3 linked regions of the Bombyx mori genome follow. The protein of the gene in region 3 interacts with the protein of the main gene of each other region in a pairwise test. Links are inferred from orthologs where the notes say so. Each region holds a gene or a part of one and is shown on either strand. Other genes may lie near its edges.

Region 1 (11,338 bases), on a different chromosome or scaffold from region 3:
ACCCCGGCTTGTATAAACGATTAAAGTGATCTAAATTATTTACAGTTTGAAGGGAGAATAATTGCCGAGCGTCAACAAACATGACTGAACGTTCAAGCGGTATTTAATTTTACCGTCCTTGAGACGACATCAAAGATAACTGCTGCTCAACAGTAAAACTACTATGGGTTAGCGCAGACTAGACTTGATTGAGATTAATTTTTTGCTTTTCCGATTAAAATTGCCAGCTCATGTATTAAGATGATTAATGAGGAGATTGAACTTCTGTAGAGAAATACCAGAGTGATTAAATTAGACGCACTTTAGTAGAAATTAACTGATCTAGAGTGAAACGTTCAGCGAAAATAAAATTGACAACGACAAAAATCATTATACCTTATAATTTTTCCAATGATTTATCATCAGGTACACATTTTATCAGCCACATTACGTACGTGAATCTAGCGATAAAACAACGATTACATACTAGATACCGTAAACCAAACAGGTTTTATTACATTCACAATCATTCAAGTGAACAGAAAAAAAAGAAACTGTGTTCGTATTATCTTAACAAGGAAAATAATTAAGTGCATAGAAAAGGTTAGGGTTCACTCCAGAAATAATAGATATTTTTTTTCCTACCTACGCTGATGGCCTTGAGAGACTATTTCAGCGTAACCTTAACGTGTAGATGAGGTCGCGGGGCTCAAATCTGACGACGTTGCTGACACTAACCCTAGCAGTAGTGCTTCGCAGAATCTACCGCCGGATCGGAAGCGCGACCCACTGAGTAGATCCGGCGAGAGACTCAGTGGGCTGTATCTGTGGGTTAATTTACTCGCCGAGCCCTTCGTCGCAAGCGACGGGTTCGACGAGAACGATGACCGGTGCTTGTAGTACCTAAAAACACCGTTAGTGGATGGGGTGGATCCGAAATGACGTGTTTTGGGCGACGTGGACTGTTTACTATTCGGTCCGCATGATCGGAAATGGAAATAATAGAAATAAAGCGAGCGAGATATAGGAGACAGGAATTTTCGAGTCGGCGTAGGGGGGTAGATATCAACTCATTACGTTACATTTAATTGAAACGGCTATATTGAAGTATTGAAACTTTAGTCTCATCAAACTTTAGTTTTAATTAGAATCAGTTTTTTTTTTCACGTTACGATAAGTTTATTGAATTGTGCTGTGAATCCCTCTCGTAAATGTTTCGGCGTTTATTGCAATATTACAACATAACCTTATAAATTTTGTGAAACACCAATAAGTGTCATGTTGAAATTGATGGGCGTCATATACAGCACCGCAGCCGTTAGAAGTATTAGACTGTATTATGCCAGAACGAGATAATCTTTGGTGATATCACACCGATTACAGAAGAAAATTCTGTATTAGATGAGCTAATTCATTAGGATAACTTGAAAACTGTTTCAAGCAAATTCTAAATGTAGCTCTGCCTAAATCAGGGGCCACAGCCGTTATGAAGAATATGATCGAAATTACCTAGAATTTCTTCCGACGATATTGCTTCGAGGGATAAAAAAGGTCTGTCCTAACTATGCAATTAAAGTTTACATCATGACACACTACTGGTCGTAAATTTTGTAACATAGTTGACAAACTAGTTAAAAATTTGCTAAACAATAAACAAGTTTTATCGTTACGTTTCCCGCGAGGGTAGGTAGTAAACATTTTTAATGCAAGTTACAGCACTGACCGAACATTCACGACAACAATAAAACTTTACAACACACTGTATAAGCTACATCGAGGGTAGTTTCAAGCGACCGCTTTATTTCATCTGTGCTTACCGCGTGTTTCATTAACTAGGGTATTCTCATTTGAAGTGAAACAAAATGTATGGAATTACATTATGTAACGCCACTTTTCATAGGCTGAAACGTTTTAAAATACTTTTTTTTAGAGTGCGGTTGGCTGAAGAAATATTTTGCAGATTCTATAACAGTTTTGGAAATTTCAGTGTTCTATTTTTAATTATTTTGCATAGATCATATGGTTTTATGTGTACTCACCGTCCGCGTCTACTTCATTGATCATGTCTTGAAGTTCGGCTTCTGTGGGGTTCTGTCCTAGCGACCTCATCACGGTGCCCAGCTCTTTGGTCGTGATGGTGCCATCGCCGTCTTTGTCGAACAGTGAGAATGCCTCCTTAAACTCGGCGATCTGTTCTTCCGTCAGCTGATCCGCCTGCAATATTTATGAGCGTTTTAAAACACTATTTATTTTTAATCAAATTTGCGTATATATTTTATCATAAAACGAATAAAAAACAAACAATAGGTAGTAAAAATCTATCGCAAATTGAAGGCAGCCACTTCCTAACTGAAAAAAAACACAACTTTACAAAACATTCAATCACAAAACCTCAATTGAATCAAATTAAAAAAAAGAACTGCATGATTCAACGCCACAGTAAAGGACATTAAAAAAAACTGTCAAGCAGAAGCCTATACGTACAGCCATGACGACCATAGTAGACGAGGATTCGCAACAGAAGACCGGCAGGCAGACTGGCAAAGTGCCAACAAAACTCTGCCGATAAGATACCAGGCAGAGATTATGTATAATTACCTACTCAAACTGACACGTCACAATGCGGCACAGATAAATATAACATACTGCATTGGAACATTTATCATTATGGCTTGCGATAATGTTTATTGTTATTGATATAAACTTTTTAGACCGAATTTATAATTTAGCCTAAATCGTTTCGCGCTATAATTAGTAATACGATGGCACAAGCCACAATCGTGGATCCACAAGTTCCGATAAAGTTTGATTCAAATAGATTCCTGAAATTGCAAAATAACCTCATTTGGCACAAAATGTTGTTATCAAACATTTGGATCCGAGCCTACATGGAAGTAAGCCTTATGAAAAATATTATTTGAAATAATTATGCGATTAGTCTCGGTAAGATATATATTATGATGTTCCACGACCGCACATTTCAATCATACCATTAAAATTACAACTTTTGTCGTATAAACTAACACTTGTACATGTTTTGCATGTACATAAAATATAATCATACTCTCAGGCAGAATAGTCTCTTTAAAGTTTATTTTGATAACAATATCATTTTGAAACGTATTCAACATATAGATCCGCTGATTCATGTTTAATTGATCCGAATAATGCACGGCTGTATTGTACAGCACTTAAAGTACTTCACGGCCAACTGCCATTCGACTAGGCGCCTGGCATTCTTGAGGTGTACTGAGAACAGCCTTACTTACCTAAGTAATTAGTGGAAGTAGAGAGTATTGTAGGCCTATACCAATATGTAAAGTTATAGTGTTATCTCAACAACGAAGCGAAGCACTAATGCGTTCGTTTGGAATCGATCAATACAATTGAAACCTCTGCATTTTATCCCTCATAATGGGTAGAGAGAATTTAAGCGGTTACTGAATCCACACACGGATGAAACAAGATTTAAGTCCTAGTTACTTTGAACTAACACATATCGACTATTTAAAACGCAATGCAAGATTATTTAACATTAGAAATATGCACACGATGATAGAACCGCGTATAGGCGGATTTAGAAAATACCCCACCATCAAAGTATTGACAGTTTACTACTATTTTTATTTATTACTGGTGGTAGGACCTCTTGTGAGTCCGCGCGGGTGGGTACCACCACTCTGCCTATTTCTGCCGTGAAGCAGTAATGCGTTTCGGTTTGAAGGGTGGGGCAGCCGTTGTAACTATAATTGAGACCTTAGAACTTATATCTCAAGGTGGGTGGCGCATTTACGTTGTGGATGTCTATGGGCTCCAGTAACTACTTAACGCCAGGTGGGCTGTGAGCTCGTCCACCCATCTAAGCAATAATAATAAAAAAATTTGGTTGTTGTGGGCCGAAAGTTTGATGATTAGTCAAGTCATGGTCTGTGGGCGAAAAGCAAGTGCCAAGCAAAATTCAAATATAGACACATTGCTAAGAGCCAGTTTTTTTCCAGGAAAATCAAGAAGCTCCATGTATGTCCAATCTCGAATTCACGGCCGCTTAAATGGGATACTACTGTACTAAGAGCAATATATTTTTAATTTAACTATGTTTTAGTTATCAATAACATGAATAACTAAACAAATAAATCTAAAAAATATAGTGATGCACAGTCACTAACTTGTTCACATTGACACAGTAAAAATAAAACTAATATTACTTGATATAACTATGTTGTATTCTACACAGTAGGCAATAGGTATGAAATACCTAAGTTATGATTCAACGTAGGAACACAAATGTATGAGGCATAAATTAACATTTTTTGTACAATTCCGATACAACTACACTTTTTAATGTTGAATTATTATTTAGATTCAGCTTGTTAGAGACAATAATCATTTGAGCTGAAATATCACTCCCTTTTTAATAAATTAATTTTAATACATAAACATGCTTAATGGATTCTTTTTTATTAGATGTGAATAGTCTCTTTAAGCACTATCGGAGGGTACCAAAATGATGTTAGCCTAAGAATCGCTTAAGCTACATTTGACAGGGCCACAAGAATTTATTATCTTAATTTTAGTTCCAATTGTAGTTAGTAGGTAAATATTACACTATCATGTCACTTGAACATTTATTTAAATATGGATAATTTGGCCTTAGCTATTTTAGAAAAGAATATTGCACATATATTGCCCTTTTTACATGATTTGTATTATCAGATATTCTAATGTAGTGAGAAACATAGCTTACAGCCCACAATGTCCTACATATTAACTGGAGAGTTGTATGAGAATGCCTCCGCTAAGCCTCGACACATTGAAAGACCTCTATTAATTATACCAATAGGTGCTAACAATGGTTCTCATAATGTATGATAGAATGTGCTAAACTCTTTCATATTTTCTTTTTCCCAACTCAATTAAATTGAGCTTCAGATTAATCTCAACTCCTTGGATTTTCAAACACATTAGAAAAAAATATAATTTCAGATATATACAAAAATATTTAACTTAAACATATGTTTACACTTTAGGTGTTATAATAATATATTAACTTAATTATACCAAGTTTATCCTTAGTTGAGAATGCATATTTAGCATTTATCAATGTTTACCACCAGTTTATTATTTATTATACTCAAGCTAACATTTCATGACTTCATTTTATTGAGTAGCACAGTTATTACTAGAACAATGGATGTAAAAAAATAGTTAAAGATTAGAATAAGATTAAAAAGCAGATTCTTTCTGTATGAATTTATATACATTCATAGCCATGATCTGCGAACTTAGAACAATAAATAAATCATAACAAAAACTTTGAATGGCTGCAGGGAAAATATCACCATTATACCCCACATACCCAATCCCCATTATTTTACTGGCAAAAAACTTTCAATGAATTTTTTTAAACACGAGTATGAGTATTCTCCGCTGAAATAAAATAGAAAAAATAATGGCTAGGGATTTAGTCAGGAACAAACTGTAATACTGTAGGCAATAGGGACTACACCGATCCTTGTGATTTCAAGTATTCATATCGAAGCTTGAAAGGCAAACGTGACTAAGCGATAATGCGTGAACTTTACAGTAGACTAATTTAAAGTTGAAATACCTGAAAACAAAATTTATTTTAATGAATCTAGCTGTATGATTGAAATGATTTTAATAGACCTACAAATTTATTTTTCGTTGCGCACTGAATATGGTTATTGCTTATCATTTATGTACAAAGCAGTTATAGTCGCTTAGTCAAGTTTGCCTTTCAAGCGTCGATTTATTCTTAATTTCTGTAACTTCAAGCAAAGGAAATTTTGGTGTAAGACACCAGAATTCAGCTTTTAAAATATAACAAGAGCATGTTAAACTTTTTCGAAAAAAAAAAGAAAAAGAATTACAGCTGTAGTTTTGGTTTGATAAACAAAAACTTATTTACATGATTGTTACTATAAGTGGCACCGTACGACGATGAAAGCGACAAGTTTAGTTACCATTATGGAATTTCACAGCAGATGATATGTTATGTACAACAACACGGTCTAACGAAAAGAGTTTTACGTAGGTACAATATCAGATAATGACGATGAGTCAACGAGCGTTTGACAGTTGCGCCCGGCGATCGATCCTCATAACAGCGGCCGCGGCCTTTCGACAATATGCCCAAACTACAAAGCCATTTGTTTTCTTTCCAACGACGTCCCTGCGCCATTTCAACCGACATTAACGGCCTACTGCAAATTAAAGAACGTAATTTCACCGGCACCACCTATTAGATTATGGCGACCGTTGTTTCTGCATAGGCTCGTTTTTAAATATCGCAAAATCTAAAGCTTTCAACACTGCTTTGAAGTTTATCTATTTCGAAAGCCTCGCTGTGAGGCTTCAGTTACGCCTTCTGATACTTCTCGAATCCGCAATGCGGTAAAAAAAACGGCCATCACAATAATATAATGGAGGCCGTCATCACTATAAACACCGATGCATAACTTCTCCGAAATACGACCCGGAAACTGTTCCTCGTGATCTTCTGAAGGCACTCCCGACACCTTTCAATAGAAATAGCACTCACCATTGTAGATTAACTTGGATTATCTGGAGCTACACTAAAAAATCACAGACTACGCCGCAAAAGCGACCGCACGGACCGACGGCTGAAACGATACTGCCGCCCTCACTCGCGCGAGTGGCCTCGCTGAGAAACTCGGGATCGCGGTTCGGATCGAGCTCGGCCGCGAATCGTTCCGAATCGACTACTCGATTCGTCGCACTGTCATATCCGTCTTTCGTTCACGAGAAGGTTAGTTTCGCAAGCTGCAGGGCGGAAACGGTCTACACAATGATTATCCTCGGAACGTCCAAGTCCATGTTTCGGGACGCACAACACAGGATTAAATTTGCTCTGCAAAGGATAGTCGGTTTTATAAGGGGCGGGTGCGGCGGCGTAGAGCGCGAACCGGCGCGCGCCGATTGGCCGCCGCGCACCTGCAATGCGTCACTGCGGCCGCGAGCCCCACGCCAGCGAGAGCGGCGCCCGCCCGTGCCCGCTCCCGAGCGCCGCTGCCCCAGATCCGCGCCGCAGTGCCGCCCGCAGGCGCCGCTAACGAGATAACACGGGCTTCCCGACGCCGCGCCCCCACACACGCATTCCTACTGAAAGTAAACGTTGCCCTATCTTGTCGCAATATCATCTTCCGTATGATTCGCACACAATCGGAATGCCGGAAATAATAAAAAATTAAAAAACAAAAAAACAATTACCATAATTTCCTACCAATTAATATAGACAATTGAATTATGATAGTACCTACCAAAGTAATCTCTTTTATTTAAAGATACGTAAAAGCAGACTAAAAATATGAACTTGTAGATTGTTTATGATCGCTTTATTGTTTACGTGTTTATTGACCCTGAAAAATCAAACAAAGGCTTCAGGTTCGATTTAGTATCTTAAATATTTTTAGCATCTGGGGCTCTAGGTATATTTGTTCTCGTCTCGTGTATATATTTCCAGTATACATAATACAAGAAAAACCTAGCTTGACACTGTTATTTGAGGATTTTTATTTACAATGTGTGCAATGAGATGTAATTAAAAACACACGTCGGAAATATTTATGAAGCATTCATTGTAAGAACCCCGTAAGATTAGTACTAGTCACAAAGAGATTCTTATTACATTGTAGAAGATATTATAGAAACGAAAATGAATGTAATGAAAGGCATGCAGATTATAACTTTAATTTATCATTTCCATAAAAAGATTTTTTGTAGCTAAAGGGGCAATCACGAATTCTGTACTGTAAAACCTTATATTTAAATAATGTTCATTTCATCCTTTCAGATTAGATGGTTTTAAAGTTATAATATTATAATATTAAAAATTTTAACTCATTTTAAGAGAAAAAATTAATTGTCAATTTTATTAAACAATCGATTGTCGATTGTAAGTATCGATTTTATGCAAGTCAAGAAACACATCACCATTGTTTAGATGACAGTACTACCATCTGTGATTGAGTTATAGAACTAAATTGAAAAATGAAAGTTTTCCGCTAAATTGTCACAAGCTCCGTGGGCATTGTTTAATTAAAATTTACTTTTTACATTGTGAACATTAAAATACTTTGTTCGCACTTGAAGTCATCATCTAACTCGTATTTGTTTAATTATTAATTTTTTTTAGTAAATTGTTTTAAAGTTTCTTTGCGTGTATGTAAGGTTTTTGTCATTAAAATACAATATTTATGTATTAATAAAGGATTGGATTTTTTTTTTTTTTGTTGCTTAGATGGGTGGACGAGCTCACAGCCCACCTGGTGTTAAGTGGTTACTGGAGCCCATAGACATCCACAACGTAAATGCGCCACCCACCTTGAGATACAAGTTCTAAGGTCTCAAGTATAGTTACAACGGCTGCCCCACCCTTCAAACCGAAACGCATTACTGCTTCACGGCAGAAATAGGCAGGGTGGTGGTACCCACCCGCGCGGACTCACAATGTGATTTTTGGTATTTCAATATTGGCAACGATAAATGCAGTAGTGACTACCACTCACGATCTGTGTGTTTAGTGCAAGTATTTTAACGTTTTCGATAGCGTAAAAGTTAAGTCAAATTTGTATGCAGTTGGAATAGCGCGCCTAGCGGCATACGTTCCAACTCCATCTAAAGTTGAGTTAACTTTTACGCTATCGAGAAAGTTAAAAAGCTCGCACTAAGCACACTGGTGGATTATCAGATGCTTTACTTTTATACCAACACAGAATGAAAAATAAATTTACCCAACATATTCGAAATTTTTCATAGTTTTTCTAGATAAGACTTTATAATAAAAACACATTTGTATACAGTAAATAATGCTACTACAATAATGATATTATTGTTATCAATTATATAATTATACTACAGTAATACAATACAATAGTTTAATTATTGTAGTACTACATACATAACAACTACATTTTTATTTGTATCTAATTAATAATGAATATTAAAATAATAATATAATAATATGTTCGTTGTTTGTGCTCCATCCTTAGGTAGCGTCTTTTACTCGATGGCTTGTCAGGCTTGAGCCCCGCGAACTCACCTACTAGTTGGATGAATCTAGAATAACGCCTCGAGGCTACTAGAACACGTAGGAAAAAAAATATCGATGGTCTTGAAATTTTGTACATCTATTTATTGCACTTCCAGGCTTAGTATACTCCTATGATACGGTTCAAACTATATAGTATTGTATATGCTAGAGAAGCGTATATCTTGTTTCTACTAGTATTTTTTATTGTTTAGATGTATGAACGAGCTCACGGCCCGGCTGGTGTATTAGTAACAAAATGGAATTATTCTGGAATGTTCGATTGCATTCCGTTGAAATTTTAATTTGATCGATCGCTGAGGTTTTATACCGCTCGTCCTGTTAGGGGTGTACGTGCTGGTGTTTATCCGACTGTCATGACCGCTGACCGACTATCGTACTACGATGATATCTTTACTCGATTCATGGTCGACGTCAACAAATTTTTACTAGCTAACATGAGCCTACGGGCTAGTTCCACCCTCCTGTCCATTTCCTCCACAAAACACTGTGTGTTCCGGTTGGGAGTGTGGGATAGCCGTTATTCAATACAACGGATACTTGATGACGGAGGCTTCACGTCTACAGGTGGATGGCGGCAGGTATGCTGTGATGCCCATGAGGCCTGGCCGCTGCTAACACCGCGTGGCCCTTGCAATATTACGAGGAGCTGTCAAATAACTCGCCACGAATAACGATGCACGATCTTTATGTTTTAAGTAGGTTCATAATAATTTTAATTATGTTGTTTAAAAAAAAAACGTTTTGCCATACGTTTAGATGGCGTGTTCTTGAGTGAGTAATCCCATTAATTTGTTAGTGTAATTAGTGAGAGTGGGGTGCGGTTTCGGCTGCCAGTGTCATTCGGGTTCTAATAATTGCTTTAGGCGCAAACTACACTTTTAATTTTATTATGTGTGACGAACGTCACAGGGTTGTGGTAGAAATAGATTATTCATTAAAGATCCTTTGTTTTGTTTATATTAATATTATAAGACTCTTGCATTGCTATCAGTTTGGGATAGTACTGTTATTCTATCAATACAGATAAGCCTTCAATCTTACGTGTCAGGACGTGCTGAGTGTTCACGTAATCTTGAACAAAAACATGCACCAATCATTTATTATTTTTAATTTATCGTATGTTTTACATTATAAATTAAAATTGCATTATTCAACATTAAAATTTGTACTTTTGCTAGAAACATCGAAAAATTCTAAATAAAAAAGATGTTTTATGATTTTATTTTGAGTTGTTTTCAGTATTTCGGTTAAGCACAGATCCCTTCCCTATTTATTAGAGCAATTTTCAATAATGAGTTTAAGCACAGTGGTGACGGAACAAAGACATTTCGTAATATTGACGTTATGTTTGAAGAGGACACAAGTATTCAACACACTACGGACAATAGCGGTTCTTTGTGGAATCTTAGACTTGTAAACAGAAGCACGAGTAGATACCATTTAGGAAAGGAAGACAAAGAAAATATCGTCGAATTAAAGGCAATGAACCTTTATTAAAATAACTACGTAATAAAACCAAAATAATTTGTTATACGGCTTAATTTATTTTACCCATAAAAAAAAACTGGTTTGCTTCAAAACCTAATATTATAATAAAAAGGCGTTCTTCGGGAATTAGCAGGCGTGCATAGAGTAGCACATGTTGAAGCTTAATTTACTTTAAGAAGGTTTTGAGTGTCTTCAAAGTAGGTGAGCGTGTATCATGTGAGGTGTCATTTGGTTGTAGAGACTGTTAGTATGAGGCAAAAATTTGGAAGCGTATTGTAAATCACGGCCGCGGTTCCAGGTGATGACTGATGAAATGTGTCGCAACGCAGGGCGATGCAGTGGTAAAACACTGATGAAGAGATCATGTCAAGACGATGATGAGGTTTTAGCACTACCTACGGAACATGAACTAACCATTCTTTTTTTTTATTGCTTAGATTGGTGGTCGAGCTCACAGCCCACCTGGTGTTAAGTGATTACTGGAGTCCATAGACATCTACTAAATGCGCCACCCACCTTGAGATATAAGTTCTAAGGTCTCAAATATAGTTACAACGGCTGCCCCACCCTTCAAACCAAAACGCATTACTACTTCACGGCAGAAATAGGCAGGGTGGGCGATCAACCATTCGGCGATCATTAATGAACCAGAAGGCATCGGACCGTATTTTTTCGTTTTATAAAATTGGACACTACTCCTGTCCCTTTCCACTTGCTCTGAACACTCAATTTCGAAAATCTTGAGATTATTTAGCATGAAAGGGTTACAGTTAATCT
Region 2 (10,745 bases), on a different chromosome or scaffold from region 3:
GGGCTACTAAAACTAATCATGCCACTGAATCATGAACAAGTTTTAAATTATTGCATTTCATTAAACGCAATCCATACATTATAAGTTAGATTGGTTTTCGTTATCGTGTTGTTTTGTTGTATAGTTGTTACGACGATTGTATACAAGTTCAGCACATTTGTCTTGCTTAGTCATACGCTACATGGCTTATGTTGCAAGCCAGCTGTTAAGCTATTACATAGCTTTTATCGCGGGCTTTGAACGCGGCGATCGAATCAAGAAATTCCGTAACGAAAATAAAACCTAACACGCCCCCTCCGCCTACTATGTAGCTCGCGTTCAATACATTCACACGTTGCGATTGTGTAATGTTTGTAAATAAGCGCGCGCGGTGTGACGTCTCACTACATGCGCATCATGAAAAGTCTGCCCATCTCTCTCTCGCGCGGTCTAGCTTATGAGTGTGAAGGGGACAGTTAATGTTTTGCTTTTCTTAATGTTTATAAATATAGCGTGGTCTTATTTTATTATTGTTTTAATTTTAAATTATTATTGTCTAATTATAATTGCATAAGTTGATAAAAAATACTATTCAATAACTTTACCGCGGCAGTCCCTGAGTGCCACACGTGTTTTTTTTTACTTGTATAAAATAAATAAATAAGTTTGTATATCTCCAGGACAAGAACGATAACTCGCCCATATTCACGTCAGTGGTCCGACCGGTCACGGTGGAGGACTCATCGTCTATAGGGAGTCTCGTGCAGACGGTCGTCGCCAGTGACGCAGACGCGACGTCACCGAACAACAGAGTCCGGTACAAACTAGTGGGTCGGGGTAAAGCGTCCAAGTACTTCCACGTCGAACCCGACACCGGTGCGTTGAGGGTTCGCGATGATCTGAAGAAGGAAACGGATAGCGAGTATACGGTAAGATTCATACTGGTTTGTTGTCTTGAGCCCTCGTGTCTCCTTACGAGGGACCCCCCTCTGCCTGACCTTGAGGCAGGGGTGATGAGCTTTTTTTTATTGCTGCTTAGATTGGTGGACGAGCTCACAGTCCACCTAGTATTAAGTGGTTACTGGAGCCCATAGACATCTACAACATCTAGGAAGGGTGGTGGTGCCTACCTGTGCGGTCTCACAAGAGGTTTGCTGGCATGAATCTCATATACGTGCTGGTTTGAGTTCAGATTGGATGGAATTTTCTTCTTTCTTCGTTCTTCTTTTGGAAGACCGAATGGTTAGGCCACAGACAGAAACGTGAACACATCCGCCCACCTTTCTCTATCACCACATCTTTCATACCGAAACGCATTACTGCAGCAATAGGCGGAGCGCTGGTACCTACGAGCTAAGTAGAAATGATTAAAACCAAATTCGTGTGCATTACAGGTGGACGTACAAGCTTACGACCAAGGCGATCCGGTCATGTCATCGGTGACCAGTCTAACGGTGTACGTGAGCCATTCGGCAACCGTTCCACCTGACGTAAGCGCTCAGTTTTTTACACATGTAGCAGCAGTAGTAGTAGTAGAATAGTAGAGATAAAAAAACTATAATAGAACTAAAAAAATATTTCTTGAAAACTCGTCTTTAATTCGTTGATACTAAGGTTTTTTTATATAAAGATTCTTTGATGTAAGTACGCGCTCTAAATGTATTAAGAATGAGAGCAGAGAGGTAGGTAGGCAGGAAAATGTCAATAGATAAAAGTTTATGGGCTCACGACCCTTAGTATTGATTATCGAAGCCCATAGATACTAAAACGTGGATGACATCACTTCAAGCTGAATGTTTGGATTTAGGAACGCTTGACTGCTTCTCTATAGAAATAGGAAGGGATGTAAAGAGACAAAAAGCTCTTTAGAAATAGGCAAGATTGAAAGAACCAACAAGCTCTTTAGAAATAGGCTGGATGGAAAGTGACAAAAAGCTCTTTAGAAATGGGCAGGATGGAAAAAGACAACAAGCTCTTTAGAAATAGGCAGGATGGAAAATGACAACAAGCTCTTTAGAAATAGGCAGGATTGAAAGAACCAACAAGCTCTTTAGAAATAGGCTGGATGGAAAGTGACAAAAAGCTCTTTAGAAATGGGCAGGATGGAAAAAGACAACAAGCTCTTTAGAAATAGGCAGGATGGAAAATGACAACAAGCTCTTTAGAAATAGGCAGGATGGAAAGTGACAACAAGCTCTTTAGAAATAGGCTGGATGGAAAATGACAACAAGCTCTTTAGAAATAGACAGGATGGAAAGTGACAACAAGTTCTTTAGAAATAAGCAGGATGGAAAGTGACAACAAGCTCTTTTGAAATAGGCAGAATGGAAAGAACCAACAAGCTCTTTAGAAATAGGCAGGATGGAAAGTGACAACGTCGAGGATCGTGGGTTCGATTCCCACATCGAACAAACATTCGTGTAACGAACAGTTTTTTATGCTCATTTTCTGGGTGTTTATTAAACAAGTTTGTGTGTCAGTCTCTGGTATCCATAGCACAGGGACTCCTAATTAGGGGCCAGATGACCGTGCGTGATTTATTCCCAGTTATTTAATTTATATCCCCCAACTCACTAAAAACTGCTACGTAATTTTAATATAAATTAAATTTTAATTTTTTAATGATGCTATTTCTTCATTTCTAAGTTAATTCAATATTTTTTCTTCGTCCATCAGGTCGGCTTAGGTTTCGCTGATACAGTGTATACGGAACACGTTGCCGAGAACTCGCCCAACGGTACCCTAGTTAGAGTGTTGCCATTACTCAATAAAAGGGAACATTCCCCAGACACGCCTCTAAAATGCTTACTCACAGAATCTTCGCAAAAAGGTAAGATTGCGTTAATTATTCTATAGGTTATGTGGTTATTGATATTATGAAATGCATAATTAAATAATCAATAGAAAAATGGCCAAGATTACCCTATTTTCGTTTTGTGTGGAATCCCTTTAAACCAGGGGTGAGTGACCTTTTTTATCAATGGGCCCATTTTAATTTTAAATTTTTTTGGCGGGCCGCCCTTTTTATCTCTTATTAATAATTTACGAAACATTATTTTTTTAATAAAAACAATTAAGAAAACAACAGAAAAACGATTTTATGGGAGAAGGTCGATAAAATAAATTTCAATTATAGAAATGATTGGCGGGCCGCGTGTTGCTCATCCTTACTTTAAACAAAACCTTTTTTTTTCATTTTGTAGTTGGGTGGACGAGCTCACAGCTCAACTGGTGTTAAGTGGTTACCGAAGCGCATAGACATCTACAAGGTAAATGCCGCCACCCACCTTGAGATATGAGTTCCAAGGTCTCAGTATAGTTACAACGGCTGCCCTACCATTCAAACCGAAACGCATTACTGCTTCACGGCAGAAATAGGCAGGGTGGTGGTACCTACCCGCACGGACTCACAAGAGGTCCTACCACCAGTAATTACGCAAATTATAATTTTGCGGGTTTGATTTTTATTACACGATGTTATTCCTTCACCGTGGAAGTTAATTGTGAGCATTTGTTGAGTACGTATTTCATTAGAAAAATTGGTACCCGCCTGCGGGATTCGAACACCGGTGCATCGCTACATACGAATGCACCGGATGTCTTATCCTTTAGGCCACGACGACTTATACTAACCGATTTATTCAGGGATATTCTACGTGAAGCTGACAGAAGACCGCGACTGCGCGATATACCTTAACACGAGTTCGCTAGACTACGAGACACTATCGGAGTATTCTCTGGAAGTACAACTGGAGTCCATACAGGGTCTGATCAACCCCGACAGTAGTAGAGCGCTCGTCAAAGTTCATGTGACCGACGTCAATGACAACCACCCCGTGTTTGTGTTCAACGAACAGTCCACTGTGGCCGCCGCGAAAGGGAAATACTTCGCTATTGTCAATAAAGAGATGCTTCTGGGCACCAACGTTCTTCAAGTAAAGGTGAGATGAAATTTAAAATAAAATAAAAAGAAATTTTGTTAATAATTTTATCTTATTATTTATTTAGTTTAATTTAAATTTACTCAAAATTAATTTTATGTAAATGAAAAAAAAAAGATATTCAACTTTATTTAAATTTAATTATTCAATTAATTATTAAATGATTGATTTAATTAATTAAGCTTTCAATAGTTGAACTATTGAAAACACACGGTTTTTTGAATAGATCGTTCTCGTTGATTAAATATAAAAAACTACTTTTAAATATTAAAAAAAATACTTTTACATAGACTAACACGAGTCATTTTTGAATGTGCAGACTATGAGAAAAGCTATTAGATGCCTATCATATACTCCTGGTAACAAAGAAGTAATGCGTGCTGATTTATAATTACTCACTTAAAGTGCTATACGTGAGATAAATTTCAATCTTTTGTCGTACATTTAAAGTTCATTTTGGTAAAGCATCGAACGTAAATACTATACACAAACAATATTTGTCGTGTAAAACAACTCTTTATTTACTCGACAATAAATGAGTCGTCTATTATCAAAGGTGGCAATCTGTACATTTGGACAAAAAAAATTTATTGATATGTCAATACAGATTTATTTGAATATAATCGTCTCCTTCAAAGAATACGGTTCAAAACCTGCATTAAATAAAGGTTAATAGTTAACCTGTTATTTATCTAAGATGTCGTTCCGAAGAGTTTTGTGACTGCCAATGGAATACAAAGTCAATAATTCGTTTTTCTGATTTACCAATCATTGTCCAAAAGTCAGATTGCCGCCTTTGATAATAGTCGACTCAAATATCGATTTATTCAGGCGAAAGATCGGGACAGCGGCGCTTACGGCAAGTTAGAATACCACAAGAACTCGTGGACCGAAGCGGCCGAAGAGTACTTCGGTCTGGACGCGGACACGGGGATCATAAGCAATATAAAATCGTTCGAGAACGTTCCAAAGGACATTCTGCCGTTCAAGTTCAGCGTGACCGCGAGAGACAACCCTGATTCGCCACAGGACTATAATATAGCCAGAGCGTCGGTTGTGGTAAGTGTTCGATCCATATTTATTTCATAACTCACGGCGTAAAGTGATCATAGGATCTTTTTTTTTAATGCTTAGATGACGAGGACGAGCTCACAGCCCACCTGTTGTTAAGTGGTTACTGGAGCTCATAGACATCTACAACGTAAATTCGCCACCCACCTTGAGATATAAGTTCTAAGGTCTCAAGTATAGTTACCTAGTTCATAGGATCTCACAGATATTAACGCGTAAATGCCGCCATCTTGACGCTTGAGCTCTAAGTCTCAATTCTACAGTAGTGACTAAGTTAATGATACCTATAAGTGTGGGCTGAAAATTCTATTCAGTTAAGATGAAATAAAACATTAATACGCAATAGTTTTTCATCAGGAACACTGTAAAGCATTCTAAATGGCGGAAATAATAACGACAGATGAAAGGTTATTTGGCTTAAGCGACATTTTTGCAACTTTGTAGATAGCGGCTTTGGCTCTGCCCCTGGTATTGCTGAAATCCATGGGTGACAGTAATCACTCACCTTCAGGTGGGCCATATGCCCGTCTGCCTGCAAGGGAAATAAAAAACTTACAGAAGAGCCATTTAAAATTCAAAATTTGAAAAAAAATCCATAACAAAAAAATAATCTTCAGCTAGTATTTGAATGGAGTAAACTTAATTTAAGTTCAATTAAAAAACGTCGAAATGTTGATGCTAATACCAAATAAAACGGACCTTTAATTACAAAGGTAAATGTCGCGTTTTTAAGCGAAATCTCGCTTATACCAAATGGCCTTTCACTCCTCGATTTATAATAACAATAATAAATGTGTGATTAAACCGTAAAATTACGTTTAATCATGTCTGCGACTAGCGAAAACCTGTTACAAAATACATAACTACAGCTCTACCACAGTAATGTAATCCTGTCAATAATTCACTGAAGCTCTACACGCGAGGTGACCTTCACTCACCTCTATCTCTACCTTTCTATCTTTATCTGACTATCTATTCCTAGAGATCTTATCTTAGAGATCATATTCCTATCTATTCCTAGACCTGTATCTATCTATCTTTATACAAAAACAATATACTGTTACATTTATACAGAACAATATAATGTTACTGGTGGTAGGACCTCTTGGGAGCCCGCGCTGGTAGGTACCACCACCCTGCCTATTTCTGCCTTGAAGCAGTAATGCGTTTCGGTTTGAAGGGTAGGGCAGCCGTTGTAACTATACTGAGACCTTAGAACTTATATCTCAAGGTGGGTGGCGCATTTACGTCGCAGATGTCTATGAGCTCCAGTAACCACTTAACACCAGGTGGGCTGTGAGTTCGTCCACCCATCTAAGCAATAAAATAATAATTATTATTATAATTATGCTAATTACAGATAAACTTATTACAAAAAGAGAATCAACTGGTATTGGAAATAGCGGATTTGAATCCGGATGCGATGCGCCGGAGAGCCAGAAGTCTTCTATCGGTCATAGAAGAGAAGAGCGGTTTGGTCGCCGGCCTAGAAAAGTTAACGTCGAGACATTATCTAGGAGAGAATGGTACATTGGAGAGCGACAGCCGTGGGACCGACGTTTGGCTCTACCTAATCGAACCTAGTACTGGCGAAATATTGACTAGAGAATCTATGCCTGTGCAGAAGTGAGTAGACAATTATTGACATTACCTATTATATTTATATGTATATAAATCTCTCTGTCTCATATATTCCTAGTACATTTATATAATACTAGTGGTTCCCCAGTAGTCGAAATAGTGGTGTAAATTAATTTTTATGCTTATGACTTGGGAAACCTTAGAGCATATGATATTCGCATTATTATTTATTACTAGACGATGACCGAGTTTTTTTTTGTTGATAAATTGTGTTTTTTAGAAATGATATTTAAATACGAATTACATATTGATAACATGATGAAATATTCCAAGATCGTTTAGGCATTTAGTAAATGAACACGTGAGTTAAAAATGCACAAATAATATAAATATACAATTCATTTTCTTGGTCTAACCTTAAACCAAACACTCATTGGCTTCGGGTTGCTTAACAACGCCATCTGCTGAAATAGCCTTAGCGTTATTGTGTCTTTAAAGCAGTTAGTTGCTCTCAATTATGAAAAATAGTATTATTATTCGCCAATAGATGTCGGGAAGAGTCATAAAGTTGATTATCGAAGAAAAAAAAAAATGAAATACACCGAACAAACAATCAAAAGTATTTCATTAGAAAAATCGGTATCCGCCTGCGGGATTCGAACACAGGTGCGTCGCTCAACACGAATGCACCGGACGTCTTAACCTTTAGGCCACGACGACTTCAAATACTATTTTTTAGAAGCGTTGTGATTTCAAACTCGATAAAACGAAAAAATAAGTCCATAGAGACACAAACACATAAATGTATAGGATTCAGCCGGCGAGAGAATGAGATAGAGCACATTCGACGGTCTCGGTCTCTTCTTTCTGCGACTCTTCGTAGCATCCCCACTATCGTCTACTAAACATTGTCCATATGTATGCTCCTGTGTAGTGGGACGGTCAGTATATCTATATCTTATTTATAAGTTTCACTTCTTCCGTGTCTGACTTGCTTGCACACACATTTTTTTTTATCTTCATAGGGCCATAGAGACTGGGGTCCACAAAGCGGTGGCTGCTCGGCTTCAGTCTCCAGTCAGTGAAGTTCGAGCTCCTTTATTAGCGGCCGAATTGCCGAAGAAGCCTCACATAGCAGCCGCGCCGCTCGCCACGGCCCTACCCGCCGCCCTGATAGGCCTGGCCGCCGTCGTACTGGTCGCCGCACTGGTCGCCACCATCTACATCTGCGCCTCATGGAACAGGTAAATGTTTGTATTAGTTTAAGTTCAACTGAAGATCAAGACTAGACTGTCCTCACTCTGCCTTCGCCGCGCACTCGAGTACTTCGGTCATATTGCTGGGAAAACACCGGATAGCTTAGAGAGACTATTCGTGACAGGGAAGATCGAGGGAAAGAGACTGCGCGGGCGCAGTCCGACAAGGTGGTTCGACCAAATCCGCACCACACTAGAGATCCCATTCCACGACGCCCTTCATGCGGCCAATGATCGGAGACGCTGGCGGGACATTACAAGGAGCAAAATCCTGTCGACATAAATGGTCACGACCCTCAGCAGTGAGGAAATGATGCGAGGAGGAGGGAGAAATTCCCAAGGAGAGGAGTTTTCACGATCGGTCTTGGGCTACGCGCAGCCCGCTGAGTTTCTCGCCGGATCTTCTCAGCGGGTCGCGTTTCCGATCCGGTGGTAGATTCCGCGAAGCACTGCTCTTGCTAGGGCCAGTGTTAGCAACGCTCCCGGTTTGAGCCCCGTGAGCTCACCTACTCGCCCGGTTACGCTGACATAGCCTCTCAAGGCTATCAGCTCAGGTAGGGGAAAAAAGGGCTACGGGCTTTGTTTCGGCATACAATAGTAGCAGTAGCTTTTGATTGTTGAACGCGCTGAAAAATCCAATAATCACTATTTGCTAATAATTACGGTACTTTAAAAACAAAAGAATATTGTACACTCCTTAGATTTAAGGTTCCAATTATTTTGTTCTATATACATATATTTATATTGTTATTGCGATCAATCGCAATAACAATATAATGTCGTCTTAAAAGTAGTTAAATTATGTTTAGGACTCGCAAAACTCAAAAAAAATACTACAATTATCGAACAGGTCCACCACCCGAATATGGTTTGAAACTTTGCCTTGAAAATGTCGTTTCCACAATCCAAATTTTTGTCAGATATCTTTTATTCCAAAAAAGAATGACAGTAGGAGGGGATTGAAAGAGACATATACTTCTTTAAATGCAATCTTTATGATAATGACACCGTTATTGATCGGTATGGTGCAGATTAATTAGCAAAAAGTGTGTGTGTGTGCAAGTCACACACGGTAGAAGTGAAACTTATAAATAAGATATAGATACAGATATACTAACTATCCCACTACACAGGAGCATACATATTACGGACAATGTTGAGTAGACGATAGTGGGGATGCTACGAAGAGTCGCACAAAGAGGAGACCGAGAACGTCTAATGTGTTCTATCTCATTCTCTCGCTGGCTGAATCCTATACTTATTTTTTCGTTTCATCGAGTTTGAAATCACAACGATTCTAAAGAAGTTTCACTTCAATAACTACAACGTGCATAATATTATTAAATCATGTATCAATTGTTCTTACTCCATTTCTAAGGTATAAGAAACACAAAGAGCAAGCGGTTCAACAGTACGGAACTCTGAGTATGAGCATGCCGCCTCCTCGTCCTCCGTCTGGCTACGAGTCCAGTGAAGATGACCCCGCACCGAGATATGAAACACAGGTACTATAAGTTTCAAGTTCTCCTAGACATTTACTAACATTTACCGCAACCCATACAAAATGATCTCTATTTAAATATTACTATGGTCTATCAACCTCCATTTGGAGGATAAGTGGAATATGAGAAGGATCAATTATGGAGATGTCTCGATATGTGTGTATAACAATAAAATTAGTAACATTCACTAACGCTTATCGACAATGTCAATGCCAGAAATAGATATGGCGCTGGCAAGGATTTTTCAATCCTCTTTTAGAAGCCCTTGAAGGTTTAACTTAATCTAAATAACATAGTCAATACTTTTGTTTTACACAGAATCAATTTTGGTGATCTAGTTAAATTTACTAAATAAATACGGATACGATAAAGTTTTTTTTTTAAAAGTTACTGATGTATGTTGCAAAAGTTATTGGGGTATGTTGCAATTGAAGACACGAGTGGATGAAGAGAAGATATGATACCATTTGTTAATTTTGAGAAAACTGGCAACAACCATTTGTTATCTGTAATTTTTCTTCGTTAATGACTACTTCAACACATGCAAATTTCTAAAAATAGCCTTGAAACCAGTCGTTTTAAGGTCTAATATGGTTTATAGGCACATAACGCCTTCATTTCATGTAAAAAACCAAAAATCTTAAAAATGGTACTTAACCCCTTCATTCACTCATGACTTCAATTATTTTTAGCAGATGCTAATGTCGTCCAGATAATCGTGTCGGTGAAAAATCTTCGTTTTAAATTAGCTCTTACGTTTATTTGTTTTAATCATATTTTAGATTGTGTTATTTGTATTTTAATAGAATTTCGCATCTCTAACAGGTACTCAATATGGCGGTCGATGACGCGGATCTGCAATTAGACTTCAGTCCAAACAATCACGCGTTCAATATACACAACGTTCAATATTTATCCAAAGATAATGGTGAGTTTATTCGACCTTTGTAAAACTCAAGTAAATGGAAAATGACGTTACAATTTAAGATTCTTAAAATAGGTAATTCACATCTCACACTGTTATAAAATATAATAAATATAAACATATTTTACACACGATGCAACTTGACATTACAGTCTGATATCTTACTTATTTGTTTTTACTTTAATATTGACTTAATAATTAGAAACGGGATTTTTTAAAAAACACGCCAATGAAACTTATTTGAAGATTTCGAAATATTTTTTTAATTTTAAATACAATATCATTGGTTTGTCTTTTGTATAATTATTTTCTTAAATAATTGCTATAAAATTCCAAAGTACTCACTAATCCTGACAAAAGAGACTTGGAAAAAGTAAATCTGAATTTATGCTTCACATTGTAAGATTTACGAAATTTGAAGTCCTGTCCCAGTACCTAAGTGCAAACTGAATATAGATTATCTAAAAAAAAATACTGTACTATTTTATTA
Region 3 (11,471 bases):
TTACACATCCATCCAAATATGTAAGCGATTTGATTACTCATATACCTTCATTTTTATTAATAAATTTTTAAAATCTGTGTGTTATGGTATTAAGTTTTGATAATAGACTGTGAATTTGTGTGATTCTTGAAAATAATGTGTGAAGTTCACCATCTCCAAATCACACACACTTGTAATTTCTTTATATAAGACCGGGTGTCGAGTATGTAGCCCTAAGATTAGTAAAGAAAAATTAATCGCCAAAAATAACAATGCACGCCAGATTAAGGTATGGTAATTACTCAAATATTATGTGTATAATCTATGTTAATTACTATTTTAAAATTGTGTAATTAGAAAATCTTACGATTTGACGTGGGTGAAGTAAGAGAGTGGAAGGGTTACAAAGTGACGAAAGAAGGTTTAACATTACCTACCGAGCGCGGATGATTTTTTTTCAATATTGAAGGACAATAATTCTCTATGAAATATAAAAATCGTCTATGAAGATGAGAGCGTGCAGTTGCATACATGCATACATATATGCGTGGTACGTCGAAACCCCGAAATTGGTCTCGGTACTTCTTTACACGGAACATCAAAACTCACCCTGTAGTTTTGTTCGGCGATCTCCTTGGCGCGCGTGTTCCCCTGGTGGTGCAGGCGCTGCTCCTCCTGGCGCCGCAGCCGCAGCGCCTCGCGGTGCGCGCGCTCCTCGGCCGCGAGCCGCCGGTAGCGCCGCACCGCGATCAGCCGCCGCACGTGGCTCTGGATCTTCACGATCGCCCACATCTTGTGGCCGTACGACCTCCGCACCAGGTACCCGCGAGCCGCAGCCTAACAGTGTAATAATACCACATCTTTAAATTATCGAGTCTTGAAAATGTCCCATTTATTTACATTTTATATAATTTTAAGGCGACTCTCATCTCAATCTCAAATACCATGTGTTTATTGACGTTCTTAGTCTTTATAAGTTATAATAATATATATACCCGTTATAATAAGGCTGTCAAAGGGTGTATAATTCATAATATAAATGAATAACGCCATATGAAAATAATTGTTTTTTTGTGGCCATCTATTATTTTTCTTTGTACCTACATATTTTATGTTTACAAAACATAAACTTCTTCTTATTTACACAAATCTTTTTTAAATTTCTTTTCAAAATTTTTTAAGTTAAGTGTTAGTTCGAGAGACATATGAAATTTTCACACAATCGATTTTTTTTTATGTCCATGTGTCCCGTGTCCTATGCTGCGTTGCACCTGTGTTACAAAATTAAAAAGCTAGATTTCGGAACAGGATTCATTAAAACAACACTGCTTAAACAAAATTGTTTAGTGTGGTGTCGAAAATTTAGGCAACAACATGAAATTTTATTACATGCCTACATGTAATTAAAAGGGGGAGGTTAATTGGAAGTGTTGGTTTGAATAATTGAAAAATTACCTGTAGAGAGACAATATGGCCGCGCAAATGTCTGAATCTGTGTGCGAGGACTCTTGCTCGTATCAATGCCTGGAGTCTAGCGTACCCGACCTTCATCTTCTGGTACCTTATCCTCTGTAGTTTACCCCGCCAATGACGCTGAATGAGAACAGCTGCCGCTCTCATCTTCAAGAATCTTCTACGATAAACCCATCCTCGTATCGATCTTTGGAGTATTAATATCTTTCTCGTTAAAACTCGGTCTCTTTCTTGCTCCAAGAACAAATCGTGAGCGTCTTTAAGGAACACTTTGGTATGACCCAACTGATAATCGGATTTCCCTAATACTTGAGCACAAATTTTTGCAGTGGCTGATCGACAGTCCGTCTTGTGAGCAGGGGGTACCCCCGATATTAAAAATCTATATCTTTCGACAAATTCCTTAAAACTATGTCTTATCGGATAGCCGGCTCTCCGGATTCGAATAGTTTCCATCATTCCGGAGTATCTAAGCTGTCTGCAACAAAGGCCGCGATCGAAGAGCATTGGTTTTTTAAATTCATTCGGTTTGATACAGCGAATGAAGAACGGCTGACAAGTCCCTAACGTTCTCATCAACAAGTCTAATGATTTTTTGAACTGCGTTGACAACGTCGGTGTCCGTTTCCTTGTTTCAGAGCCCATGACGATATCCTCTTGGAATATCTGCTGTAAGAATTTATTCGTCGATATGTGAATTAATTGCAGTAAGTCAGCACTAAATGTGTCTCGGTTTTTCTCTAAGAATCCCCGTGTGTCGTAAAAAACTATTCCAGCGAAATGGTTTAATCCGAAACTAGTATTAATGTCAGACTTTGGCTTAAGGTAATTTCTGTGGAGACCGTGCGTCTTATGAAGTTTAGCTAGCATAGTTTGGTCAGTCCCTTTTGGAAACTTAGATTCTTCGTCTATCAAAGCCATAATGTTTAGCTGTTTCAAAGCAATCAAGTCCAAAGCATCCTGATTGTCAACAAACTCGATGTGTTGCCAATTTATGCCTTCATGGTTATATTCTTCCTGTTCCAATTTGAAAATGTGCCTGACGAAAAACTGTTGTAGATTCTCGTTTGCGAAGTTAATGCAGAACTGTTCAAAACTGTTGTGATCAAAGTTTTCAAAACCAAATATGTCAAGGACACCAATTGCAGTTCTTGTAGTTGACTTGGGTTTGTAAATGGCCGCGTTGATTTTCCTGACAATAGTTACGAATAGCCTACCGTAAATTCCTTTCACAAATGCATCTCTAATGTCAACAGACTGATCTCTGCTTAGTGTTGATATAACAGTTTCTCCGTGGGCAAATAGTGTTTTTCTAGTCAAAGCACGTATAAGAGATTGTAAGGGCACACCAAGTAAGTTGGCTACCTTTCTTACATTCGCTTCTTCTGTAATTTCAGTGGCGTCAAGGTTATCAACAACAGTCGCTTCGTACTTTATGTTTCCACAATGTAAGACTGCTGCCAGTAATTTTAAAATTTCCCATATTTCTGATTCTGTGAATAATAACACTTTCATTGCTGATCTAATGTCTGCGAATTCTGCAGCGTCATCTCTGCCCTCGCACGAAAAACTCCCGCCCTGAAATAGAAATAGTAATTTTTTTATCATAAACGCAAAATCGTGTCTAGGATCGATATCAGATCTAAACAAGCACGCGAGGATATTATCAAAATATGTCAGATATAAGCAATCAAATAAATAAAATTTTAATGTAAAATAACAATCTCTTAATGTTATTGCTTTTGTTGATCTATGTGACTATCGAACATTAGATTGATAACTAGATATCAATATGTTTTGGTTAGAAAGAGTTATTTTCGAGACATGAAACACTCACCGCAGACAGATATCTGTATTCCGAAGGGTCGCCTAATTCCAATTTCTTTTTATCGTCTTTGGATAATCCAGCCAGTAAACAATAAAACACGTGATAGTTCCTCTCCTCGGTGCCTTGGGATACAATCCTAGATTTCTCCAACAGATATTGTTCAATTTTAGCTCCCTCTATAACTCCAGAGCTATTGAAATGTATATCTATATATTTTCCGAATCGCGAAGAATTATCATTTCGAACTGTCTTCGCATTCCCAAAAGCTTCTAGAATTGGATTAGCTTCTAAAATCTGAAACGATAATATATTTATTGTTTCTTGTTATACAAATTTAGAATAGAAAATAATAATTGAAATAAATGATGTCGGATGTAATCAGTAAATACAAAACATTAAAATCATTTTTTAGCTCCATAAATACCTTATCTAATTAATATATACCAAATCTAGTGTATATTAACCGCCATATCTATACCGATATCTAAATTAACAATTTAGGTACCAACACTATTAATTAAACTTGCCTTTGATATGGGTAGTATAAATCCAAATACTATAAGAAAATACAAGATTCATTCCTCACCTGTTGTTCTATCCATGAATGTTTACCGCTAATCGCAGCAAGGTATTGAAGTATAAGCTTTGTTGACTCCGTCTTTCCAGCACCCGATTCCCCGCTGATAACGATGCATTGATCCTGATTATATCTCCGCATGTGTGCGTACGCGTTGTCACCAATCGCGAATATATGGGGTGGTAGCTCGCCGATTTTTCTCTCCTTGTACAGTTTGATCTGGTCCGCCGTGTAGATCGGTAGTATCTGATACGGATTCACCGCAACTAATATCGATCCGGTGTATGTCTGGAATATCGAGTATTTTCATTCAATTTTTTTTGTTTTTTTTTTATATTGCTTACATGGGTGGACGAGCTCACAGCCCACCTGATGTTAAATGGTTACTGGAGCCCATAGACATCTACAACATGCGCCGCCCACCTAGAGATATAGGTTCTAAGGTCTAAAGTATAGTTACAACGGCTGCCCCACCCTTCAAACCGAAACGCATTACTTGTTCACGGCAGGAATAGACAGTGTGGTGGTACCTACCCGTGCGGACTCACAAGAGATCCTACCAACAGTAAAAGACCAGAATTACAATAAATTCATTATTCAGCTAACATTTATATGATAATGAATATTATTCGCATCATAGTGGAAATAATACTACTATTGGTATTTTTGGTTACTAGTAATCAAAACAAAACATTTACTGTCATGACTAAACAATTAGCATACTCACATAAATAAGATTTTCATTGTACCGGATGAGGAGATTCCTTAGTATACCGGCCTCGTGCAGATCGCCGAGTGAGATCATATCCTCGACTCCGTGCACGGAGGTCGCGTGCATCGCCTTGATGCGGCGCTCCGGTGGAAGCCATTGCTCGTTGCCGTCGTCGTCCCGGACCCGGATCCGACGTCCCTCGGCCGCGAGAACACGTGCTCCGATCGCCACGTCGAACTCCCGCCCCGACACCGGCTCGATCCATATGTAATCGCCCTGTAACACAAATCATCAACAATAGTTATTTTTACACGCTTTATTACTTAGCTTCACTTGTATGTATGTTTGTATGTTTGTAACTGACTCCTTTAGACGCGATTTTGACCCACTTTAAACGGCCAGATTTCATTCAAACTTTGTAGATTTATCGAGGACCGACGACAATACACTAATTTGATTACGTTGAGCACCCCACGCTTTTTTTACAATAAAATATATATATTTTTACACTATTTTCAATTTAAATTTATTTAATTTTATTTTCTATTTTTTAGTTTAATTTTATATAAAACGTGTTTTTTTGTTTTTTTAAACTATTATTTTTTGGTATTTTAAAATGACTACGAGTAACAAGGCAAACAAGAAAAGGGATTAAAGAAATTAGGGGAACATGGATCTCTGTAGATAACGATTTTGATATGCTATTTTATATTTCTCACTTATTACTAGGCAGGCCGTGAGCTCGACGTTGAAAAAAAAAGAAATCATTCACTATTTTGCATCATATAGATTTCGCGATAATCTCAATGAAACAGGTTTAAATCTGAGGATAGCATTTAATTTTCAAAGTTTTGTAAATAACGGCACGAGCTGTCTATCTGCTTAATTATAATTTATCGTCGTAATAATTTTTTGTAGCGAAAATTATGTAAAATAACTCGTATTTCGTTAAATTGTTTTCGAAAATATAAGTATTGGTTATAAAAAGAAGCTAAACAGCAACGATGTAATTCAGAAAAAAGGATAAAATAGTCACATTGTAAGAAATCTTCTATTTTTCTTATGTAAGTTATTATTAGACCAAGATTCAACGAGGTAGACTTTAATCTGAAATCTGGAAGTGGCGGATGAAGTGTTAAAATAAATGAAGATTAGGAAATAAATACAAAAAGCATTACTGATTAATTCAATTGGTCTAGTTGTCACAGTATGCGACTTTATATTTATAATTCTACTAGCTTTACCCGTCCGCTTCGCTGGGCATTTAAATTTAACATTACTATTTCTCACCCCCACAAATATTCTCATCATTAACGCCCCCGCAACTGGTGTAGGGAGTCCAACATTCATATAAATATTAGCCTATCCATTAAGTACATGTATTTTCTACATGGATACCAAGTTTCAAGTCAAACGGATGTATGGTTCAGTAGTTATAACAGAACATCCGTAAAAACCACTATAGATTTATATATTAGTATAGATAAAATGGTATATCTTGATCACGAACACGGGTTAGTTAAGTTTTTGCATAAGTTTCTTTGTTCTTGATACATTAATTTAAAAATTTATAGTTTTATTAACATATTCTACTGCAAAAGCATAAAATATTTTTTAAACATATTTTAATACTTTTTAAACTGCAGTTTTAGGCATTAAAGTCGATATAAATTGGGAAATTTAAGTTTGCAATAATACAAAAATTGTGCATTTGACAACTATAGTAAATTACATTTCTATACATACATAATAATCGTAAACTGTTTCATTGTGTAACTGACAATTTATAAGTGACGCAGAATGAAATATGTCATGATGACAAGTAAATTTTTTTAACATATTTTTATTTTTCTGTATTGTTCAAAGGTCAATTTCATTGGTATACACCAAATGCGAGCTTTACTCAGAAGTGGATTGAGCTGGCATTCCAGGTAGAATAAAAAGAGTAGCATAGATCATAGATAGCGGAAAAGTTTCCAATGAATACAATATTGCATGCGATTTCAAAGTAATCGTTTGGAAACGCATCCTAATACAAACAAGACAATGCAAGGCACTGCAAAAGGGTACCGAGTAATGCATGCTTAAATTTCTCTAAACTAGTTGTTAATTTGATTATATTTAATAATACAAAATAAATAAAAACAATCTAAGTGTGGCTAATATACTTAACATTGAATTTATAGTCGATTACATTGGCCTTCACTTATAAATTCAGTAAGCGAAATGAAAACAAAGACAATAAATGCTTCTAGGAAGTAAAATATAGAAAGTGACATCCCTATTACTGCAAACGAGTTATCCGATCATTATCAATGATATTGCGTGAAAGCGTTAACTAGTTATTTAGATACTGTAATTTGTATACGCCGACTTTCGTATGTCGTTACAAGTATAATCCGAATGTTTGATATCTCATTATGTTATTGTAATAAATTTTTATGAGAAGTGCATAAACATTATTGAAATGTTTACTGAAATGAGTATATGTAAAAAGTAGAGTACTCTTAAACAGATTATAATGTGCATCACGCAAAAGATGCATCATGAATAAAACCGTCTATAACTTATTGAAGGCTTCAGGATAATGGACCCCTAATTATATTTAATATCTTATCACTTTCATTTTCTTAATAGGAAAACTGAACTAATAAGTAATCTTTCATACAATCATGCAAATTAATTCAGAACTATTAAAAGTCCAAGGATATTTAGGTATAGGCATCAATTAATGGTTTTGTTTTTGACACCAATATAAATTAATAAATATTTACGTTCCCGTTGTATTACTACATTCATAATAACATAAATTATTTAAAAGATTGCACGTGCCTAATTCACCTAATCATCTCTAGAAAGGGCGTCCATAATAAATACAACAAACTTTCTATTAATTTCAATGAATAAAAAGTTACTGACCTCAAAAGTCAAACAAGTTTCCATCTTCGTACATTATAAAAAGCACAGAATGCAATTGTTTTACAACACAGCACATTAAATGTTAACTGTAGGAATCCACAATAGATGTTTTATCGTAAATTTGACACTGATTCTGACCTGAGTATGCTCCGATACATCAGATACGAATAAATTTTATATTGAGTATACTTATTATATTTATGGTTCATTAATGTAGACTGAATATTTTCATTTTTATATTATTAGTGTAAATAATTAATTTTCGTTTTTGGGTCAATTAGTGCGATGACAGTTTTATGCGTGGTCTGTGACGTATAAATTGAAAAGTACATATTATGTATTAATTCCAACAAAAATATTGATTTATCTATATATTAATACGTGAAGTAAAAACTTTGTACCCCTTTTTACGAAAATTGCAGGGACGGAGGAGTATGAAATTTCTCACACTTATAGAGAATATAGAGGAGTGCACAATGCTAATATTTTTTTTAAATAATGCATAAAAGATACTTTAAATCAATAAAGAAAACATTACACACACTACCATGTATTTGACACAACACATACATAAAAATATACTCTTTTTTTTTAATTCTTTATTAGAGCCTCTTTGTTTACTGTCAATTGCGAAAGTTTTGTTATTGTTTAAAGTCTGTGGTCGAATTGAAAATAGATTAAAATTGTTTGGCTTTAATATTATTAATCTGTAGTGCAGTTTTGGCGAATACTGTGATTATATTATCGAAATATGTGTTTGACAATAGAATCATAATAATGTTTAAACTTATAATTTCAATTAATTATAGTCGAATCTCGACTACCGCGGGGCCACTAGTATTAGTTATAATGAAACTTTTAAACGTAAATTGGATGGAACTAGAAACGGTTCATTTTCAAAATTGATAATCAGGCATGCGTTCCTGTTTGAAGGGTGTGATAGCCGTTGTACAACGGTTTTGTAATTCTGGCAGTCTACTTTCTATAACTAAATTTCATAAAAAAAAAAAACTTAACTCTTTTCAAAGAAACTTTGAAAATAAATGAAAATTTGTACATATGAACTGTAAGAAATTTAACATCTTATAAATAAATTGAAAAGCATTATTATGTTTACGATAATGTTCATTTTAATACAATAACTAGAAAGAAACGCTTTGTTCGTGTTCTTCCAACACGTGTTTGTATTATTGCAATAAAACGACAAGTAAATTAATGAGTCACAGCTTTTCTTTCTTTTCTTTTTTCTCCTACCTAAGCTGAGAGCCTAGAGAGGCTATATCAGCGTAACCTTAACTAGTAGGTGAGCTCACGGGGCTCAAACCTGACGACGTTTGCTAACACGAACCCTAGCAAGAGCCGTGCTTCGCAGAATCTACCATCGGATCGGAAACGCGACCCACTGAGAAGATCCAGCGAGAAACTCAGTGGGCTGTGGCTAATGGGTTAAGGGGAATCATAGTGTATTCTCGAAGCATTTGAATTAAATCAAGCAAGTTACGTTACATACTTCACTAAAAAATGCAACAAATAATTTATTAGCACATCAACTGGAATAGACATTCGCCATTTCATAATAATTGGTTTTTCCAATGGCTTTAGAGGCAGGCGTGGGCTGTACTGTATTGAAAATAAAACGGATCACCAATTAAGTTACGAAACTAGTTCAATCCAAATTAGTCAATTACAGTACCCGGTTTCATCCTAAAGATCCGCCTACAGCCGTTGGCGCCTGAACTGATTTAGATCACTTCTTATTTATTAATCTATACTTCTATACTAATATTATAAAGAGGAAAGATTTGTTTTTTTGTTTGTTTCGAATAGGCTCCAAAACTACTGGACCGATTTGAAAAATTCTTTTTCCATTAGAAGCCGACATTGTCCCTGATGAACATAGGCTACTTTTTTTTTTTTTTTTTAATTTTTTTTTTTGTTTCATGTTTGTTTTAATGTTTCCGAAGCGAAGCGAGGGCGGGTCGCTAGTCATATTATAAAGCTGAAGAGTTTGTTTGTTTGGTTGAACGCGCTAATCTCATTTCGAATTGAAAAATTCTTTCAGCGTTAGATAGCCCATTTACAATATAACATCACACTAAGAGCAATACGAGCAGAGTACTAATAAAGAATGTTTCAAAATCGTTTTTTTTTCTTCCTTTTGAGACCTTCCGGTGGGTGCGCTGCAGAAACTGTTAAAGTTTCGCTAAAATAATATATGATAGAATTGTTCCCCTTTAAAAGTAAAAGTAAACCAAATTTGTTCTAAAAGAAGCATTATTTGTGAAGATGTTTTTATAAAGATTATAGTAATCCTTATCCATATAAATACGCTATTCATTACTAGTACAGAGGTGGCACAGAATAAGAAGAATAACAAGAAACACCCAAATCATTTCAAAATATTATGCTTTGAAAATTGTGGACTTTTCTCGATTTCTCCAGGATCCCATCATGAGATCCTGATCCTGATGATTACAGAACCATTCGGGAAGTCTACCCTTTTGAAGAAAAAAAAAACATAAAGAAATTATAAGAATCGGTTCAAGCATTCTCGAGAAATCGGTGAACATGCATAGATAAAAAAATGTAGTCAAATTGATAACCTTCTCTTTTGAAGTCGGTTAAAAAGCGTGATATTCGTAGCTTAAATAGCTCCTTAATATTCTATTATTCAAAAATATTTTCACCTTCTATGTAAATGAAGTCGTGGGCAAAATTTATCGTTATCCTAAAGTAACTATTCCACGCGGACGAAGTCGCGGGCAAAACCTAGTTTATTCATAAATACATACTAAGCTATCCAAATTACTTTTTTTTTATTGCTTAGGTGGGTGGAGGAACTCACAGCCCACCTGGTGTTAAGTGGTTACTGGACCAATAGACATCTACGACGTAAATGCGCCACCCACCTTGAGATGTAAGTTCTAAGGTCTCAAGTATAGTTACAACGGCTGCCCCACCCTTCAAACCGATACGCATTACTGCTTCACGGCAGAAATAGGCAGGGTGGTGGTACCTACCCGTGCGGACTCACAAGAGGTCCTACCACCAGTAATAACAGTAGTTTGATCAATACGTAGTTTTACTATTTCCTAGGAAATTGAAATATTTCACCAGTGCCATTATTTTCATCTAAATTTATTAATAGATCCTCCCGATCCACTCTCGGCACTCCAAGCACCGTTTTCGTCGAAAGCGACAAAGAGTTATATTACATATGTATACAGGACACCCTTTACATATACGCGTATATTATAGTTGCTACCACTGCTATTGACTTCAAAAAAGTAAGTGAATTATGAAATACTAGCTGTACCCGTCCGCTTCGCTGGGCATTTAAAATTAACGTCATTATTTCTCACCCCCACAAAGATTCTCATCATTAACGCCCCCGCAACTGGTGTAGGGAGTCCAACACTCATCTAAATATGCTATCCATTAAGTACATGTATTTTCTACATGGATACCAAGGTTTAAGTCAATCGGATGCGTGGTTCAGTAATTATAACGGAACATCCGTAAAAACCACTGTAGATTTATATATTAGTATAGATTGGATACAGCGGTCAAATCAGAACAATAAGTCTTCCACAATTTCAGGTTAGATCAGGATTTCTCAGATCATAATAAGAATTTTTTGGCAAGCCTCTAATTTTGTTACATTTCTGTTATATAATGTGTGGCTTTTACAAATCTTGAGTATCATCACATCAAGAAATAAGTTTAAAAATTCTTTAAATATTTGTAAAGTATGATTACGCATTCAACAATCATAGAGTTACTACCATAAATCCCATTATTAAAAGATTCACACATGGCTATAGAAACTTAATTATATTCAAGAAAAAAAGACAATGCCATAGCCATTCAATTACCAACAATGATGATAGTTTTAATTGAAACGTCTCACATTCACATGGTGTGTGTGTGTGATGTGTGTGTGGTCAGCGAGGTGAACGACCCCTGAGTCGGATTCTGTGGCT

Evidence for each region.
Region 1: the proteins of myosin-VIIa (region 3) and calmodulin interact in binary tests that used the Drosophila melanogaster proteins (3 or more experiments, as listed by UniProt). The link is inferred for Bombyx mori from reciprocal best matches to the Drosophila melanogaster genes ck and Cam.
Region 2: the proteins of myosin-VIIa (region 3) and cadherin-99C interact in binary tests that used the Drosophila melanogaster proteins (3 or more experiments, as listed by UniProt). The link is inferred for Bombyx mori from reciprocal best matches to the Drosophila melanogaster genes ck and Cad99C.

The regions. Positions count from the first base shown.
Region 1 is NC_085129.1:640,494-651,831, reverse strand, and holds the start of calmodulin, read right to left. Parts: upstream 6,624-11,338; 5' UTR 6,545-6,623; coding exon 6,542-6,544; exon of another isoform or gene 5,967-6,541; coding exon of another isoform or gene 5,964-5,966; intron 2,854-5,963; exon of another isoform or gene 2,479-2,853; coding exon of another isoform or gene 2,464-2,478; intron 2,194-2,463; coding exon 2,019-2,193; intron 1-2,018. UniProt on the Drosophila melanogaster protein: Calmodulin mediates the control of a large number of enzymes, ion channels and other proteins by Ca(2+). Among the enzymes to be stimulated by the calmodulin-Ca(2+) complex are a number of protein kinases and phosphatases.
Region 2 is NC_085112.1:10,964,583-10,975,327, forward strand, and holds part of cadherin-99C, read left to right. Parts: intron 1-659; coding exon 660-908; intron 909-1,373; coding exon 1,374-1,469; intron 1,470-2,655; coding exon 2,656-2,809; intron 2,810-3,624; coding exon 3,625-3,920; intron 3,921-4,751; coding exon 4,752-4,979; intron 4,980-6,351; coding exon 6,352-6,617; intron 6,618-7,597; coding exon 7,598-7,816; intron 7,817-9,206; coding exon 9,207-9,333; intron 9,334-10,155; coding exon 10,156-10,258; intron 10,259-10,745. UniProt on the Drosophila melanogaster protein: Cadherin that functions in epithelial morphogenesis and the intestine epithelial immune response. Essential for female fertility. Regulates the length and organization of apical microvilli in developing follicle cells and salivary glands.
Region 3 is NC_085110.1:14,512,329-14,523,799, reverse strand, and holds the start of myosin-VIIa, read right to left. Parts: upstream 7,619-11,471; 5' UTR 7,513-7,618; coding exon 7,489-7,512; intron 4,846-7,488; coding exon 4,585-4,845; intron 4,146-4,584; coding exon 3,867-4,145; intron 3,575-3,866; coding exon 3,290-3,574; intron 3,031-3,289; coding exon 1,435-3,030; intron 817-1,434; coding exon 589-816; intron 1-588. UniProt on the Drosophila melanogaster protein: Myosins are actin-based motor molecules with ATPase activity. Unconventional myosins serve in intracellular movements: can function in cells as a single-molecule cargo transporter.